2 linked regions of the Tamandua tetradactyla genome follow. The protein of the gene in region 1 purifies or fractionates together with the protein of each later gene. This does not show direct contact. Links are inferred from orthologs where the notes say so. Each region holds a gene or a part of one and is shown in the gene's direction. Other genes may lie near its edges. The genes, in order: AP1M1 and ATG9A.

Region 1 (8,866 bases):
CTCCACGATTAGAGCGTGGTTGGGAGTAAAGTACAGAGGAGCAGCAGAGAGGGAGGAGGAGAACCAGGAGAGCCTGCATCTGCGGGAGCCTAGTGGAGAAAGTGTTCTGAGGAGGAGGACATGGCTGGCAACCTGAGATGCTGCTGAGGGTTTGCATGGGAAGAGCACTGAGAGTCCTCAGTGGGAACCCTGCAGCCAGTGAGTGGGTTCTGGGGGGTCGGGGGTAGAGGGGTGGCAGGAGTGAGAATAAGTGCAGGATTTGCTGTGAAGGGGACAGAGTAAAGGGATGGTAGCTGGAGGTGGGGTAGGGCCAAGGGAAAATTATTATCATCATTTAAATGGGATTTGTTTGATTGGGGGAGGGGGGAGGGAGATGAGGCAGGTGAGCAGGTGGGGTGGAGGAGGTGGGCAGTGCTTGGAAATGAGGTGGCCCTGTGGGAGCCTGTCAGGTGATCAGAGTGACTGAGGAGAGGCTGGACAGCCCCCTGGCTTCCAGGCCAGGTGGAGGGGGCAGCAGCTTGGCATCTCCATCCCATTTCCAGCTGCATGGCCTGGTCCTTGATTCCTCCATCTACAAAGTGGGGGTACCAACAGCACCAGGAAACCCAGCAAACTTGGCTACAGGAGGGCAGAGTCCAGCTCAGCACCTGCTATTGCGTGAAAGCTGGTCTAGTTGCATGGCTTCTTGTAGGGGCCTGGTGAGAACAGAGTCCAGCTTCCTGTGGGCTCATGGTTGAGGGGAGGGAGACGCAGGGATGGGGCAGCGCAGACACCTCGGAGGGAGGAGCACAGGTGGCAGCTGACAGCACTGTGTTGTTGTTTCTCAGCCAGGTGGTCCTGCAGGTCTGGCCTGGGGTCTCGCGCAGCCAAGGGGCAGCTGGGGCTGAAGCCCTGGAGGCCCACGGTGACCCTCTCACCACTCACACATCTGCCCCGAGCACAGCCCCACGGCCCCTCTCTCCCTGGGCTTTCTCGTCCTGTAGGTCCGGAAAGACCTGCATGGTGGGTGGCTTCCCAGAGTGCAGCACTGCCCATGCGTCTCATGGCGCCATCCCAGCCCAGGCACTGCTTTCTGCATTATTGCCTTCTGTTGTGTAAACTGAGTCACGGGGCCAGGCCCGAGTCCACGTGGCAGGAGCTGCATGAGAGCATGAACGCCGCGAGGCGCGATTCCTGGGAAGCACCCGGGCGAGTCGGCTGTGATCGCCACACTAGCCAGTGTGGGAGCCAAGCACAGCCCGGGGCCTGCCTGGCCCTGCAGGTACTGCCCCTCAGGTTTGAAATTGTTTTGGAGTCGGTTAAGGTGCAGGACCTGTACCCCAGAGTCACCTCTGCAGTGTGATCGTGGTAGCCGTGAGGACAGCCAGGCGCTGTGACCGTATCTGAGGCTGGCAGTCATTTGGGCAGCTCCTTTGGCTGACCCCTTTACTGTCCTCATTTCTTGTCCTTCCTAAAACCCGGCTGGGATGACTGTCAGTGTCACACCCTCTGGGAAGCACACGTAGAGGTGCCTGCAGGGCGGCCACTGGTGGGTGCTTGGTTGATGTTGTGTCCTCTTCTGCCCCTCATGAGGCCTGGTACAGAGGCGACTGACCCAGGTTCCCAGTGGTCACTGGAGCTGGGCTTCCCCTTCGGACCTGCCTGGGTGAAGGTGAAGGAGGGGGGCAGAACGTGCAGCCTGAGACCTTCAGCCATTCCAGGCTCCCGTCCTCTGTCACATGCTGGCCAGGCTGAGCTGAGCTTGTGAATTCACTTCCGTTTCTCCTTTCTCTTCAGCAAATGGAAAGGATCCTGAAGAAAGCATCTAAAACCCATAAGCAGAGAGTGGAGGTGAGTTGGGTGCTGGTCCCAGCTGGGCCCGGAGTCTGGCAGAGGGGGCCTGGGAGTGTTGGTGGGAGGGCAGTGACCGGCTCGTTAGGGGGGACCCCAGTGTCCGGGCTCTGTGAGACCTGGCCGGGTGGGTTTGGGAGGAGGGACTCAAAGAGGAGAGATGGGTGTGGGACAGGCAGGGCGGGCCTGAGGTCTGGGCTGAGACGAGCTTGTTCCTTGGCTCTCCCAGGACTTCAACAGACACCTGGACACGCTCACGGAGCACTACGACATTCCCAAAGTCAGCTGGACGAAGTAGCCACCCGGCCCCCGCAGTTTCAGGACACATTCTTTTTCCCACACTCTTGCATTTCTCTGTTGAGACAGGGCTTTTCAAGGCTTGGATACCTTCACTCCGGAACTCATTAAAACGAGACTGTCCTTTTGCTCATTTTTGTTGGCTTCTCCGTAGCACAGAGAAGATAAACCTTTTTTTCCTGGACTGGAAATTTTTAAAAGTTTATGCAGAGGTGAGGGTGATTTCTGTAGAAGTACCACGTGAAAATGTTGCGCCTCCCACCTCCCTCCCTGAATTGCATCCAGCCCCCTGAGGACAGCCAGCTGGCTCTCTCTGCCTGGATAAAACCACCTCCAGAGAAGGAACTGATGCCAGCATGGACCCTGGTGGGCTGCCCTTGGAAGCTCCCTTAAGCTTGGGCTTGTGACTTTCCATCTGGGACCCTGGGAAGCTGTGCAGAGCTCATGGCCTTCATGCTGCCCCTCGGCTATCTTGCCAGCTGGATAGCTCCAGCCTGGGAAGCAGCCACCCAAGGGGAGGGTGGAAAGACTGCCTTGTCCCTTTCTGTGCCAGTGCCCCCATTGCAGACACTGCTAATGGGTGTTGCCATGGTATCCATGGCAGACACGGCTAATGGATCTCACCACTCTTTGTAATGGAGCCCAAACCCTGACTCGCCCCGCAGTCCCTTATGTTTGTTCAGAGTTGGCATGGGGCCTGGAGCCTGGTTGGCATTTCCAGCCTCAGGACACCTTGGGGGTGACAGGGCCAGGCAGAGTCCTGGGGCCAGCAGCCCTGGGTGCAGTCAAATGGGAGGACCCAGGGGCTGGCGCTGGCGAGCCAGGACCTTGAGGGTCTCCGTTCACCAGACCAGGATCGCCCCACGTGCTACTGGGGAGAAGTTGCTGTTGGGGTAGATTTGAAAGAGTAACAAAGTGACAAGAGGAAAACCAAGTGTTGGGCTTGGAGCCAGCATGTGTGAACTACGAAATAAAGCAAAGTCCACTTATTAAGTGTGAGTCTGCGGGTCTGAACTCCGTGCCATTTGATTACCACTGGGGATGCTGCTCCAGCAGGATGGTAGATGGTCCAGTTAATCACAGTCAGTGGATCGCGGAAGAACTGCTGCAGATGTGGCTTGAGACAGCAGGGGGTTCTCATCTCCCCCTTCTGTGGGTGGACTGTGCCTGTTTGGGCCGTTCTCATCCATGGGCTGGGGTAGTTTAGGTCACGCAGTCACAGCTTGCTCAGCTGGGACAGGAAAGTGCAAGATGGCATCTTTGTCTTCCAGCATCTGTCTCTCTCTCCCCCCACGTATTTCACTGTCCAGAGAAGGACACGTGGCCACACCCCGAGCATGTGGGTGGGACCTCTCTTAGCTGTGAGTGGCAAGCAGCCCCCACTGTTGGAGTCCACCATGGCGGTTCTCAAATTCTGTGCGGTAAAAGCCACTGATGCCTGGACTCCCAGCCCCGAGATTCTGATTTCAATTGGCTTGGGGTGGGGGACCCATCTTTGTGATTTTTCAAAGCTCCCCAGGTGTCCCTGATGCACAGCAAAGTTTGAAAAACCCGGGTCTACAGGTTGGGTCTTTTCTGTGACACTGCAGAAGTCTTATCCAGCTAGTACATAAAATAAAACCAAGGGTGAAATTCAGATGTGACCCAAAAACCCCCACGTAGGGAGAAAAGGGGGTTACAGGTAATTTGTTTACTGAGAAAGCGTTGATTGAGAGTTACTCTTGGCACCTGGAGTCTTTTATTTCCTCAAAAGACTTGTCCCATCACTTGCTCCCAGTCCTCTTGATGCTGATTTTGAACATCTAAACAATACCGACAGCAGGCCCAGAGGTGTTGTGTTCACCTCTCCTTGGTGATCTTTTTTGTCTTAATTCCTTTTGGCACTTCCCCAAGTTTTCCACAGTGAGCACGGACAGTTTGGTTAACAAAAAGACTAAAACACACACACTGTAATAAACTGGGCAGAGTATGAGGCCAGGTATTTCTTGCATTTTGGTCCCTAACTTAAACTCTTGCTGAACAGAACCCTGCTTTTCTCCCTAGGCAGCAGACAGGCACCACCCTGACATCTCATCACGTTCCTTTCAGGGCTCGTTTGCCAGACATTTGGTGCCCCAGCCCCTGTCTCGGCTTCTTGCTACACCCTTTGTGCCAGAAGGTTTGCAGGGTCCTTAGCTGTCTTCATCCAGTTTTCTACTCTGGATTTCCTCACACATCTCTCTCCTGAGCAGAGGATATAGAAATACACTGTGGCAAGAACCATCCCTCAAACCCCACTTAGAAATAGGGTAGAGACAAGATATTTGACAGGTGGGCTGCAGGGCTGGCTCTCCAGGGCAGTGTGGACGGTTTACTGGGGTGGAATGCAGGCATGACCCCACACCCCGAGTGTTCCTAAAGCAAACGGAATGTGAATCAACTGATCTGTCAGGGACCACAGTTTGCAACACTCACCATGGCCACTAACCTGCACTTAATGCAAACACGTATGTACTTTGTGTCTGTACTCCGAGGGGGATGGTTTTCACTAGGTCACTCCAGGACTTAAAACAGGCACAAACGAGGTCATGGACGACAACTGAGACAATGACAAGTAGTGACTTCCTAAGGTTTCGCTCCCTCTCAAACTGTGCATTTCTTAGTTTCCTAGACTTCCTAAGGGCTGTGCGCAGGGCGCTTCCAGCACCTGAAACTCTCACCTGATTCGGCGCACGGGTTGGGGTTTCCAGCTGCTCTGGGGCCGTCGTCCAGCCAGGCCGCTAGAGGGCGCCCTGATTCTTCAGCCCGCCGCTCTGGGCCTCACTTCCCGGATGCTGGAGGCGGGAGCCGGAATCAACGTATGCGCCTGCGCACACCCCGCCCTACGCCTGCGCAGAACCAGCAGCTGCTCCCTGACCGGATATAACGGTCCCCGCGCGGCGCCCGGGACCGGAAGTGGAGGGGAACCGTCGTGGGGCGTGCCCGGTCTTCCTCAACGCCCGGCAGCCCCCGCCGCCGCCGCCACCTGAGGCCCCTGTCGAGGCCTCCGGTAGCCGCCATGTCAGCCAGCGCCGTCTACGTGCTGGACCTGAAGGGCAAGGTATGGAGGTTCCCCACCCTCACGTTGCCAGGCAGCCGGCGGGGGCCTCGCCCAGCGGGGACCCACCCTGTTGCTAGGTAACCAGCCAGCGGGCACCACCCTAGAGTCAGGCCTGGAGGCCGGCGGCCCTCACCTATGAACCCCACCCTGTTACCAGGTAACCGGGCGGTGGTCTTGGGTCTATGGGCCCCGCCCTGTTGCTAGGCAACGCGGTGGGCCGCTGCCGTTGCCGAGTAACCGGCAGCAGGAAACCGACACGATCTCTCGCGCGTCTGGCGGCGGGGCTCAAGCCTCGGTTGGGGGGCACCCGGCACCCGGAAGTCGGGGATATGGCGGGTCTGGCCGGCTTGGGGAGCTGGGCCCCGCGGCTATGGTTCGCGCGACCCTTGGCCGGAGGCGGAGGCGGGGCGGGGACAGGGCACCCTCGGCCGGTCTCGCGCTCTCGGAGGCAGCTGCAGGTTTTTCTCCGGCGCTTTCTCGGGGCCTGTCCCAGGTGGAATTACGCCACGTGATGGAGTACGAGGTTTAAGCAAGATGGGAAAGTCAGGCATAGAAGTGAACAAACATGACGTTACCCAAGCCCCAGAGAAGTGGCCGGTCGACTTAGAATGGAACCCGGAGTCATCTGTTGATTCAGCTGAGCTAAATGTCAGAGAGGGTGCTCAGACTTGGAGCAAAGACGGCGGTAGCCGCCGTCCTTCTGGAGCTCAGTCTAGTGGGGGAGGCAGATGTTAGTTCCCAGAAGCACCTATCAACATGGATTGGGGTAGTGAGGGTATGTAATGAGAACCTGGGAGTTAGTCACAAGGAGGACCTGGGAGAAAGCTTCTCACAGAAAAGAGGCATTGAAGCCTTTCAAAAGAGCTGCTGCCTTTCCCCACGTACACCCCGGTGAAAGACTTCTGAAGTCAAGAGTCACGAGAACTGGTCCAGGGTCAAGTATGACGTCAATCAGTGATAGAAATGTGGGTGTCAGGTGCAGGGGCTGGGCCAGAGTTCACGCAGAAACACATGGGAGTGAAGAGGTGAGGTGCCTGCCCCTCCATTCTCTCTGAGCACTTTTCCTGAAGTCACTTTAACTGGGCTTGCCTGAGCTGACCGCCTTGGATGCCACCCAGAGTCAACAACTTGTGGATCCCGTGGTTGGGCTTCCTTCCTTGGCTGACCCAGAGGCAGGGAAGACAAAGCACAGCTGGGGCTGGCAGGGGCAGTATTCCCTGACTGCCTGTAGTACGAGCCCCCTTGTCACCAGCAGTGCCAGCAGGCTGCCTGTTTCAGCTGGCTCATTCCTAAAGCAAATGTTGTGTGAGCATGCAGCTTGCACCAAGTCCAGTGCCAGGGTCAAGGGACCCATTGGTGTGACTACCTCACTGTGGCTGAGGAATTAGGGCTGAGCTGTGTGACCTTGGGCAAGTGCCTTCTCCTTTCTGAGCCTCGCTTTCCTCGTTGGTCAGGCGAGTCTTCATGGGGTCACTGCAGACTCAACAGAGTGAATGTGAATGTATGAGATGGGCTCAGCCCCCCCCCCCCCCCGTGGACTTTGCTGTCTAATGGGGCAGGGGTCACATGTAGGAGCAGAGACATCACCACATAGTCGGGTCTGGGCAGCCACAATGGCAGGGACATGCCCAAGGGAATGTGGTTGTCCACCTGTTCTTTGGCTGGCAGGAAGGGAGAGGTTTAAGAGGCCTGTGGTGGAGGGGAGATGCTGGGGCTGGGTTTGGAAAGATGAACCAGGTGGCAGTTAGGTGAGGAAGTGTCCCAGTGGAGCTGCCTGCTAGGGCTGCAAGCCAGAAGTCTGGGCAACGCTGGAGCCCAGAGCCTGGTTCTGGGAGGGCCGTGGGTGGTGAGGATGGCCAGGCAGGAGTGGAGGTGGGCAGCTGTCAGCACAGGCAGCAGAGCCTCTGCAAGACGAGCATTTCAGGAGGAACACGGGGAGACTCACCTCTCGGGGGGCTCCCCGGGCCACTGCGGGTCCCCTTCTCACAGCCCAGGCGCCTGGTGTCATCACTCCCTGTGGACCTCACAGTTTAGAAGTTTGCCTCCAGAACAGAACGAATTTAATCAAGAGTAAGTCAGTGGCACATGAAGAAGTTCTCAACCATGCATCTGTCTGCAGGCCAGGCCTTGGACCCCAAAGTTACCAACCGTGGCTGGGGAAAGCCCTCCAGGGACACTTCGCCACCTTCATCTGACTTCCTCAGCAGGACCGCTCTCCCATCCAGACCGCTTCCCTTGGTTTCTGGGCTGTGCCCTTTGGGTCTCCTTCTGTTCTCCTCGCTGTTCCTGGCCAGCCCCTTCTGTCTGCCTCCCCTTGGGTGACGGGGCCCAACGGGACCAGCCTCCGCTACCTTCTCGCCCTGGTAGCCTGTTAATTACCCTCAGATTCACACCGCAGCTCTCACCCTGTCCTCCAAACTTGGCCTTTTCCAAAACCAGCTCCCCATTGTACCCGGTGTCCCTCTCAGTGGGTGACACTGCTGCACATGCCAGATACCCAGACGTCACGCCAGATACCCAGACGTCACTCCAGCTCCTTTTCCTCCTCCCCAGATGCTGGCGAGCCCCCGCTGTGGGCTGGGCATGCTGCCCGCCAGCATGGGTGAGGTGGCGTGATCGCTGGTCTCAGGGAGCGAGAGGCAAAGACACGTGAATGCGTGTCGGCCTCGGTGACGATAGGGTGGGGTGGTGGGGAGGCCTCTGGGAGGAAGTGTGTCTGCGCAGAGGTGCAGGGCCAAGCCTTCCAGGCAGAGGGAACTGCAAGTGCCGAGGCCCCGTGCCAGGGGGAGAGTAGGGAGAGGGGCGGAGGGGCTGGGAGATGCACGCAGGCAGGGACCCAGTCTGACTTCTTTCCAAGACCCTCTTGCTCTCTGGGGAAGAGCTGCGGGGGGTCAGGGGCTATCTCTCCAGTGCGTAGCCCACCTCCCCCAAGTCAATCCAGCCTCCTGCTTTGGGCCTCCTGGTCGTTGCTCTCAGTCCTCTGTGGACCAGCCACGCCACTCCTGCCTTGCTGCTCAGGCCTCAGGAAGGGCCTTGGTTTGCCCTGGTCACTGCTATGTCCCTAGGCTTGGCACAGGGCACACGTGGCCTGCCAGTGGCTTCCTGTTCTTCCTGAAGCCTCTGAGGACCCCAGGAATTGGAAACTGGGGAGAAGGAGGCCCTCAGGAACCAGGAGAGCAGAGTTGAGCATGGGGTGGCCTTAGGGTCCCGACCCGCGTACCTGTACTCGTTGCGGGACCTGATGTGTCCATCTGTAAAAGCAGCAGTCCCACGTCGGGGTGTGGCTAGTGGTGTGTGGGGGCAGGCGGCGGCACCTCTTGGCCAGGGTGCTGGGGTCCTGCCAGGCCGCCACAGGAAGGGGGTGCAGGGCTCCTCCACGAAGGGGAGATTGGGAGAGGAAGGGTCCCACTCTTGCCCTCACCTGCTCTTACCCTCCCCTACTCTCACCCTCGCCTGCTTTCACCCTTGCCCACCCTCGCCGTCACCTGTCTTTAACCACTCTCACCCTCACTTGTCCTCACCCACTCTTGCCCTTGCCCTCGCCCTCCCTCACCTGCTCTCACCCTCGCCCACCCTCGCCATCGCCTGTCTTCACCCACCCTGACCGTTGTCCACCCTCGCCCACCTCGCCCACCCTCGCCCTCTGCCTTTAAACAGGAA
Region 2 (8,929 bases), on another chromosome or scaffold:
GAAAAGTTGTGTTAAGAACAAGATTCCACTGGTGGATAAAGTAACCAAGGAGCAGCCGCATACTGGGGAATGGATTAGACTTCGAAAAAAGTTTTGCTATAGAAGAGAGAACCTCCACCCTCACCTTCTCTCGGTCACTGAGGGCAGCAAATCTCTGCCGTTCCTCTTGCTCCTGCTTCTCCTGCTCCCGCTGCCTCCGTTGCTGTTCCTCCCGCTGCCGCCGGGCTGCCTTCTGCTCCCTTTTCCGTGCAGCCTGCCGTGCCTCCATCTCTGGTGTCAGTGGTCCTGGCACCTGGAGGATTTCAAGGAAGGTATTAGGTAAGATCTACACAAGTTAGCCTTGGCAAAACCATAAGAAAGTAGAAAGAATCCAGCCAAGATCTATAATGTCTTCCCACTCTCCCTCTTCCTTTTCCAGCTGACCTGAGCCTTTTTGTAATCATAAGCATCTGGATTCTTCTCCATGAACCTTCGGAATTCATTACGTGTTGTTTTGTCTGCTGCAACTGTATACGGTGGCCGGGCACAGGAGTCCCTAGGTGCGAAACCCCCCAAATACTGGTTCAACTTGACTCTTGTCTTTCCCAGTATCACCTAACCAGACCAAGGGAGTACTGTCAAGTAGCCAGTGCTGACTTAGACTCCAGCTCATCTTCTCTATACCCAAAATGGCTCGGGAAGGGGGCCCTCACTTACTGCACAGTGGGGTCGGCACCTGCTTCCAACAGCAGGCGAACCACTGAGCTTCTCCCAGCTACAGATGCTGCATGTAGGAGGGTAAAGCCACTGGAGCCCAAGGGGGCACTGAGCAGAGATGTAACTCCAGGGTCTGAGGAGTTGGTAGCTAGCTGGAGCTTCACCATGCCAACATCTCCGGCTTGGCAAGCAGCTAAAAGCACATCCCAGAGCTCTGGCTGACCAGAGGCCTTGGCCTCATCCAGTGAAGGTCCCAAGGAGGCTGTATCTGCCTGCGCCAACCGTATGAGGGGCTCATCACCATGAGGTTGCTGAGGAAGAGTCATATGTGTCCCAGCCCCCAGATCGTGGTTTCTGTCCTTCTTATTCCTTTTCTTCCGGCTCCGCTTAGGCAATACTTCAAATTCACGAAGACCTAGGGTCCCCAGTGTCAACTCTACTAGTTCCAACTCCACCTGGAAGCTGTCTTCTCCCTCCAACCCTGTACCTGGGAAGAAAATTGAAATATTAGATCCATCTAAGGGATAAGCAGAAGGTGGAAGGATGATGGTTACCCCAGATGCAAAGAATGTATATAAAGAGATAATCCAGATGATCCTGAAATGAAATTGTTTTTATTTGTCACCCAAGATAAATAAAGTAGCATATCAAGAACTGAGTCCATTAGTTCACACGCAGAAATCAGGCTCTCGTTCCAGATGAGGACAGGCCCAGAAGACGATATATAAGAACAAAAGTCCCTGGGCTTTCCCTATGAATAGCCCTAGGATGGTACACAATAAAGGAAACCATGGAAGCAGTGACAGCTGTGCAGGTCAAGGGTCTATAGCCAGGGAAGTGGCTCTTAGCTCAAAATCACAGGATCCAAAAGGACAGGTAAAACTATGTGAGATTCAAGTATCTACTCCATGTCAAGACTATTCCAAATACTATAGAGATCTATAAGAGATAACAGATTGGGAAAAAAGACCACTAAACAAGTCTCAGTAACAGCTATGACATACCCCATTTCTGCAGACGCTATTGTATGCATGTGTTTTAAATGGGGAAGTGGGTAAGTTATCAGAGTAGACACTAGAGAGGTATTTGATAATTGCCAGATGGTGCTCAAACCCTGTTTGGGAAATTCTGCATTCTGCTCAAGTGCTTCATTTCCATCACTGGGGACCTTTCTTCTTTCTTCTTCAGAAGCTTTCTTCCTCTCCTCTCTCACTGTCTTCCAGTGTGTCTGAGGTGAGTCCAATCTGACTATCTTCCGGGGGTCTTCTCCTGTCATAATGCAAAAAGATCTTTCTCGAGCTTTGCTGAAGAGAAGCCAGCCCAGGTCTCTTTCAATGAAGATGTGCATTGGGCTGCAGTTTGAGGGCTAGAGTATTCTCTGGATACACAAACGAGAACCTGAGGCTTAGGCTGGAAAGTACAAGAAGGTCTAGGGAGTCTGGGGAACTGGGTCTAAGGCTTACCATGGACGTGCAAGGTGGTAAGCTTATGGAGCACACGCTGTAGCTCTCGGAAGGTGGGCCTGCGGGTGGCGAGGGGGATATCCCAAAGTCGGGGATCCTCCCGTTGCAGGGGTGCTCCACGGCCTCCAAAGAACAAGGATCGGCCAGAGCTGGGGGCACGCAGCAGTATTGTCCCAGCTTCCTCCAGTGCCTTAGCCCAGTCTGGCCCTGTTAGCAGGTCACGAACCTCCTAGAGGAGAGAATAACTCAGCCCTGCATAGCTTCACTTGATATTTTTTCACCTCCAATCAAAAAATGACCCACAGATCATGTGCAGGAAGTAGGAGGCATGAGATAACAAAGAGCGAGAAAGAGTGAGAGGACTAAAGCCCCTGGAGATCCCTATTCTACCTGTGTCTACCCAGAAATAAAGCCTGGAAGGATATAGGATCAAAAACCTCCTAAATGTAGTATTTAATGAGTTGAACTGAGAGGGAAAGAAAAGTGGATCAGAGGAACACTGGACCTGGGAGGCCTAACTCACTTTATATAATGTGGCTTCATTGTAGCGCCTCAAGTTTGCTCCAGCAGAACGGGAAGTCCCACCCCGGGCATCCTGAAGCCCCTGGGCTGTACCTCGCTTGGCCCGCACAGTGTAACGGTGAAAGGTTTTGTGTGTCACCACTTCTCTTCTGCAGAGACAAGACTCAGTACTGGGCACCAGCTGGTGCTAACAGGCTCTGTTCCATTCTCACCCCATGCAGCACCCTCTCACCCTTGGAAAATGGCACCAGCGAAGTGTCCAGCTGCAGCCATAAGCACCACACAGTAGGCAGGGCCTCCACTTTGCAGGTTCTGTAGCAGCAGTTCTGCCTCTTCAGGGGGCACCTGGATGACAAAGGAGAGCACAAACATTCTACCTGTTACATTCATTGAGAACAAGAAACTAATAAAAGATTTCAAAGCACCAGTGCCAGGTACTTTACATACCTTATCTCATTTAGTAAAACCACCCTGAGGCTTGTGTCCATTTTACAAATAAGGAAATCTGAGGCTTGTAGAGGTAACTAAGATCAAGTGGTAGAATCACAATTCAACCCTAGATAAGTCTGTTTCCAAATTTAACTCCATTACATTGACCCTTCCAAGATTTGGGTCAGTTCAACCCAAGACTGTGCTCTCAAATGTGATACCTAAACCCAGTTAGGAAGGAAGGGAAGAAACAAGGGACTGGGCTGAGGGAAAATCTAGTGGGGTTGACCACACAACCTGTGCTGTCACTTGCCTGGTGAGGGCCTAGGACACAGCGGTAGGCAGAGAGGAACTGGCCCTTGGCATTTTGGAAAAGAATCCTATGGGGGTGGAAGCCTTTGGGTCTGTTAGGCTTCTCAAATTCAGCCCTCTCTTCATCCAGTATCTGCAAGTCCTCCTTACTGGGTGAGTCTGAGTCTTCTGATCCTGAGATGCTGGAAAGATCTCCTGAGGACGACAACATGAGAAATTCAAGTTTGGAACCTTTAACCTTTCATCAAGCTCCTTATGAGGGCCTTCTGCCACCCCCACATCCTACACCCACACAGGTCTCCCACCAGGCATCACCTCCAGAGCTCTGCTTTTCAAAGTCCAGGGCTGACAGGGGGGGCTTGTCCTTGAGACGCTGCTTTAGGTTAAACCGATGCCAGTCGAGCTTGTAATGTTCCCTCTGGTAGGAGGCAAAGAGGGAAGCAGAAGGTGGAGATGCTCCCACGCTGGCCAAGATCAGTAATGACTAAGTAACACCACAGTCAAAGCAGGATATTACTGTGACAAACAAGTTATCTACATCTCCCCACCCACCACTATACCTATAACACCAACATCTAGCTTTGAACTCTAGCCCTTTACCTGTTCCTGATGGTTCTGGAAGGTCTGCTCACAGGTTGAACAAAATAACTTCTCTGAAATATCAGGAGGACTCTGGATGGGCTTTCTTTCTGGGCTCCCACTCTTTCCTGAACCTAATAAGGGGAAGGTAAAAGGAGAAAGGGAGAAGAAAGCCATAGTTCCTGGAATTATATATATATATATACAGTAACTGCTGATATATAAAGCAGAAGGAAATACAAAAGGAAGAAATGACATGTCCCTATCCTCAAGAAATTTACAATCTAGTAATCATGAAATAAATGAACTGGCAATCACCTTATATGATAAATATGCTTCTGAAAGGATGTACGGAAAAATGAATATAAATGAAACACTGTACAGACATGAAACAAAGGAACTGGAGGAATCCTGTAGAAAATAATTTCAGTAAGCATCAGTTCTCTTAAACTGTGAGGTACAAGAAAATATGTAGCCACAGATGAACTCAAACGTACAAAACCAAATACATAAGGCTTGGGGCTTGTTTTTGTTTTTTGTTTTGTATTTAGTAAGAACAAAAGATGACTGGAGTTCAGTTAAAATTTGGAATGTATCTTGGAATTTTCAAATGTGTTTTGAAGGCAGTGGTGTTAATGTTATCAAATATAAGGAATGACAAGAGACTTGTTTGGTAACAATTCAGAGGTCTGTGTTGGAAACTATCCAGAGATTAACTAAAGAGGTACATTTCATCCAGTAGAAAGAGAAGTGAATGTGTGCTACAGAGCTGAGGAACACTAAAAAGAATGCGTTCCCTAGAGGAGCAACATGTTCCAAAGAAAACTTCATGGGTCCTCGTAGGTCCACCCCAAACCTCCCCGGATACCTGAACAGGAAGTAGTAGGCAGAGCCTGTGCCAGAGCCTCCCCGAGAGAGTGGCTCACCAGGCTCAGGCCCTGAAGGACAGGCGCATCAGCGTTGAGGTCAAACAGGGAGACCGACGCAGGACCCAGGGATGCAGCTGGAGCGGGCGACATAACTGAGCAGAAATTATCTGGAAGAAGCTCCTGGAGCAGAAAGGCGTTAGGATCAGAGCTCCCCAAGGCGAGATACTATTGCCCGATCACCTAATTAACTGCCTTGGTCTCTCCCATGCCGCGAGGCCCCTTGGCCTTCACCTCCGTACTCACGGCCCAATTCTGGGGACAGATACGTGACCCCAGCCTGCTTTTTCAAACGCCCAAGTCTCGGACCACACGAGTGAAATGGGGAACCCAGTTCTCAAATCGAGTCTAACAGAGTTAATATCACTTAAGGTTCCCTAACAGACCTCTCTTTGTTACTCGACAGCCGAGCTCCGGCAACGACTGAACTGGGTAGACTCGTCCACGCCTTCAGCAGCTGTCCCAAAATCCTTGGGTGAGCCGAGAGTACTCACAACTACAATTCCGAACTGGATTTCTGTGACACCGCAACAGTCTCGTCACTACGGAGCAGCGAAGGGGACAAACGAAGGCGGCCGCACCAGAACCCCGTCTCACGTAGAACGTGGTATTGGTCGTCAGACTGCCCAAGGCCCGCCTCGAACCTTTAGTCCCGCCCCCAGAGCCAACAATTGGCCGCAGCGTCTCCGCCCCTCATGCTCATTGGCCAGGCTAGTTGAGGGTGACAGTAAGTGGCAGCCGCCGGGCCTAGCGCTCCGGGTTGAACCGAGCCGAGCCGATCGAGCCCAGTAATCACCCTGGTCACCGTTCCTGAGGTGAAACGCAAGACCGGTATCTGGACTCCCAGGGCCCGGGCCCGGCCAGGGGTACCCGGTCAGCCCTAAGTGATCTCGTGGCGGGTAACGGGGGTAGGGGCTGCTCGGGCGGGGCGGGAACGCGCAATTGGAATGTTTTGATAGCGGGAGCGCGCGGGCGGGGGCGCGCTTTGGCGGCGTGGCCGCGCGGGAGGTTGTCCGCTGTTATAAGCTGAGCGCTTGGCCTGGGGCCGGGCGACCCTGGGAGCGCTGGTCTCGGGTCGTAGCGGCTGGGTATGGGAAGGCACCCACCCCAGGTATCGGCTGTAGGACTGGCTTGATCCCTCCGACATCCGCAGAAAACCCCAAGCCCACACCCGGCCGGGGCTCGATGGGCCGGGGGTCAGCGCTGACCCGTTGAGTGGTGAGTTCCCTGAGGGCTTGGTCAGCTTCTCCGGAGCCAGGGCTCTCACTAATCCAAGGAATCCCACCGGGGCCAGGCTGGGCAGAGAGCCTTGGCCCCCAGGGTCTGTACGGACTGGGTGAGTGCCACCAAGACCACGCCTGGCTTCAGGGTCCTAGCGAACCACTAATTGGCTCAGGATCAGGGGGCCACAGTGATCCAATGAAAATTTCCCACCTAGGATCCATGCCTGCCTCTTGGGTCTCTGGTACTAAGGAAGCAGGGGAAGGGGTTGGCCAGAAAGGTCCTCTTCAGAAAATACTCTTTGGATTTTGGACCTGGGGTTTTGTGGACCCTAAGAGGACTGATTTCTAAGGCTGAGGTGGGGCAAGGGGGAAACAGTCCAGAGGAGGCTGCCTGACCTCAGGTCTGCACTGACTCAAACTCTATAGGATCAGTAAGTCATTTCTTGGGATCCTCTTTCCCACTTGCAGCCTCCCTGCCCCATGTTTGGCCTCCTCTTAATGGAGGGTGAGGGGGTGATAGAGTTGGATCCCTTTCTATACACACTTTCCACTCGCTGGGGCCTGACACCTTCTCCCCCAGCAGCTGCCGAGCCAGGGCATCGAGGGCTGGAGTGGTGCAGACCCTGTCCATGGAGCTGGTAGGGCCATGTGCTTATCTCAAACCTTTATTTACAGAGGGCTTCCAACCTGCTAATCTCTTGGGGATACCAGGGTTTCTCCTGGAGGGCGGGGGTGGGGGGACCCTTCTCAACAGTGAATAGAAACTGAAACAGCCCTCTACAGTGGTGGAGTCTGGCTTCAGGCCAGCGAGGCAGCAGCAGACATTCAATAACTGGGAATAACTGACCAGAGTTAAGGCCTCTCAAGCCCAGAGCTTGCTGCTCTTCTTGGGTTATTTCTTCTCCTCTGCCTTTGGGCCAAGGAGGCTGGTAGTAGAGACCAAGCCCAATGATTCTTTCTCACTCCTTTTGGCATAGTAGGCCAGGCCCATAGGCAGGCAGTGCCTGGGTCTGAACCAGGGTGCTTTTTCCCACGTACTGGCAGGTGGACAAAGTGGACAGGGGAAGGTGGTGATGGCGCAATTTGACACAGAATACCAGCGCCTAGAGGCCTCCTACAGCGATTCACCCCCCGGGGAAGAGGATCTGTTGGTGCACGTCCCTGAGGGGAGCAAGTGTGAGTTCTTGGATGGGACAACCACAGCTGGGACCAGGAGGTGGGGGCTCTGGGGGCTGAACACTGAGGGAGCAAGGGGCCTAATTACCTTCAGGGCTCTGACATACCTGCCCCTGTGCCCACAGCACCTTGGCACCACATCGAAAACCTTGACCTCTTCTTTTCTCGAATATCCTTTGTCTTTGCATTGGAACTCTGGGGCCTTTAGCTCCTCTTTAGGCCAGGTCCCTGATGGGAAGATGGGGTAGGTGAGACTCTAATCCCTAAAAGAGATTCTAGGGACTAGAGTTAGACACTTACTCTAATCCCTTCCTGAGGCTGAAAGAGGTTGGGGAAATAATGATTGTTAAAAATAATGATACCCCATATTTTGAGAGCTGTGTGCCTTGCACTTTGTGGTGTTAGTTTATAAGGAAATTTTCTAAGGGTGATCTTCCTTTTTGATGGGATGCTAATAATTGTAATAATTATATGTCTTTTGACTCATTCTTTGTCAGCTCTGAGTTAAATACTTTACATGCATTATCTTATATACCTAATAATCCTATAAGACAGGTATTATTATTCCCAACAATACCACTGCAGAAGAAAGCTTAGAGAGATTAAGTAACTTGGTCGAAGTCAAACAACTAGATAATCATAGAAAGTCACCAAAGTTTGTGCTCTTAACTGCTGTCTCTACCAACCACTATTTCTTAACAATTATACGTTTATAATCTACATCAGAAAAATGGCTTCACTTGTATGCTCATCGGGGAGATCTTTGAGCTTATGTAAGTATAAGAAGAGGTGGTTGAGCTGGGAAAGGACTACCTCTCAGTCTCTCTTTGCACTCATCCCCTGACCTCACCTGGTAGTGCAACCTGTCCCAGTATCAAAACTGCAGATCTTTATTGTTCAGGAACTGTATGTGGCACCTAAACTTACAGCTTCCCTTTTCTTATCTCTCCTATAAGAAAAGTTTTCCAAGTCCTAGCTCTGCCATAAAGAGAACGCAAACCTTGATCATTGCATCAGAGCTCCAATTGAATGGACATGGTCCTATCAGGAGGTCTCAGAGACAGTTTCTGTTCTGCCTGGGTTGCATCTTAGGCAGGCTGCTGGGCAGAAAACTTCTAGGAGGAAGGAAGTTTTATGGCATTGCCCAATGGAAAGGGGTTAGGAAAGCTCTCTCTTATAAAAAAAGAGTCCAAATCCTCAAAAGACTTCTAAGTACCATCGCAAAAGGGAATCAGGGACTGGAGACCAGGGACCACAATCCTAAAACCTTTGAAACAGTCCTGTGGGTGATGGCAGAGATTACATGAGGTGAGGAAAGCGGGCTGATTCTGTGTAGCCTCAGGCTAAGAGCAAAAAAAAAAAAAGAAGAAGAAGAAGAAGCTGGTTTGGGCCTGAGAAGGTCCCTGGGGCTGAGCAGTAGGGAAGGCCCCTTGGGGGTTCTCCAGTCCCTTCTATTTCCCAGAGGCTATTCTCCAATCTTGTTCTGCTGATCACGGACTCTTCTCTTTTCCTACTTTATTTTACTGATGCCCCTGACTCTTGGTCTATAACCCCTCTTCCAACCACCCAGGCAGTTCCTCTTTGTGGTTGCCTTCACCACTTT

Evidence for each region.
Region 2: the proteins of AP1M1 (region 1) and ATG9A purify together in Homo sapiens (affinity purification with western blotting, with the first as the bait; 3 studies listed by BioGRID). This does not show direct contact. The link is inferred for Tamandua tetradactyla from reciprocal best matches to the Homo sapiens genes AP1M1 and ATG9A.

Annotation. Positions count from the first base shown.
Region 1 is NC_135337.1:94,820,152-94,829,017, forward strand, and holds the start of AP1M1 (AP-1 complex subunit mu-1), read left to right. Parts: upstream 1-5,032; 5' UTR 5,033-5,164; coding exon 5,165-5,206; intron 5,207-5,234; exon of another isoform or gene 5,235-5,610; intron 5,611-8,866. Other genes in the region: protein FAM32A, read left to right, coding at 1,777-1,830, 2,060-2,128. UniProt on the Homo sapiens protein: Subunit of clathrin-associated adaptor protein complex 1 that plays a role in protein sorting in the trans-Golgi network (TGN) and endosomes.
Region 2 is NC_135329.1:194,968,195-194,977,123, reverse strand, and holds the start of ATG9A (autophagy-related protein 9A), read left to right. Parts: upstream 1-5,343; 5' UTR 5,344-5,826; intron 5,827-5,863; exon of another isoform or gene 5,864-6,145; intron 6,146-6,243; exon of another isoform or gene 6,244-6,263; intron 6,264-6,730; exon of another isoform or gene 6,731-6,788; intron 6,789-7,194; 5' UTR 7,195-7,223; coding exon 7,224-7,326; intron 7,327-7,451; coding exon 7,452-7,495; intron 7,496-8,034; coding exon 8,035-8,099; intron 8,100-8,896; coding exon 8,897-8,929. Other genes in the region: tRNA endonuclease ANKZF1, read right to left, coding at 125-292, 424-535, 697-1,183, 1,810-1,965, 2,160-2,388, 2,683-2,830, 2,914-3,026, 3,424-3,617 and 3 more. UniProt on the Homo sapiens protein: Phospholipid scramblase involved in autophagy by mediating autophagosomal membrane expansion. Cycles between the preautophagosomal structure/phagophore assembly site (PAS) and the cytoplasmic vesicle pool and supplies membrane for the growing autophagosome.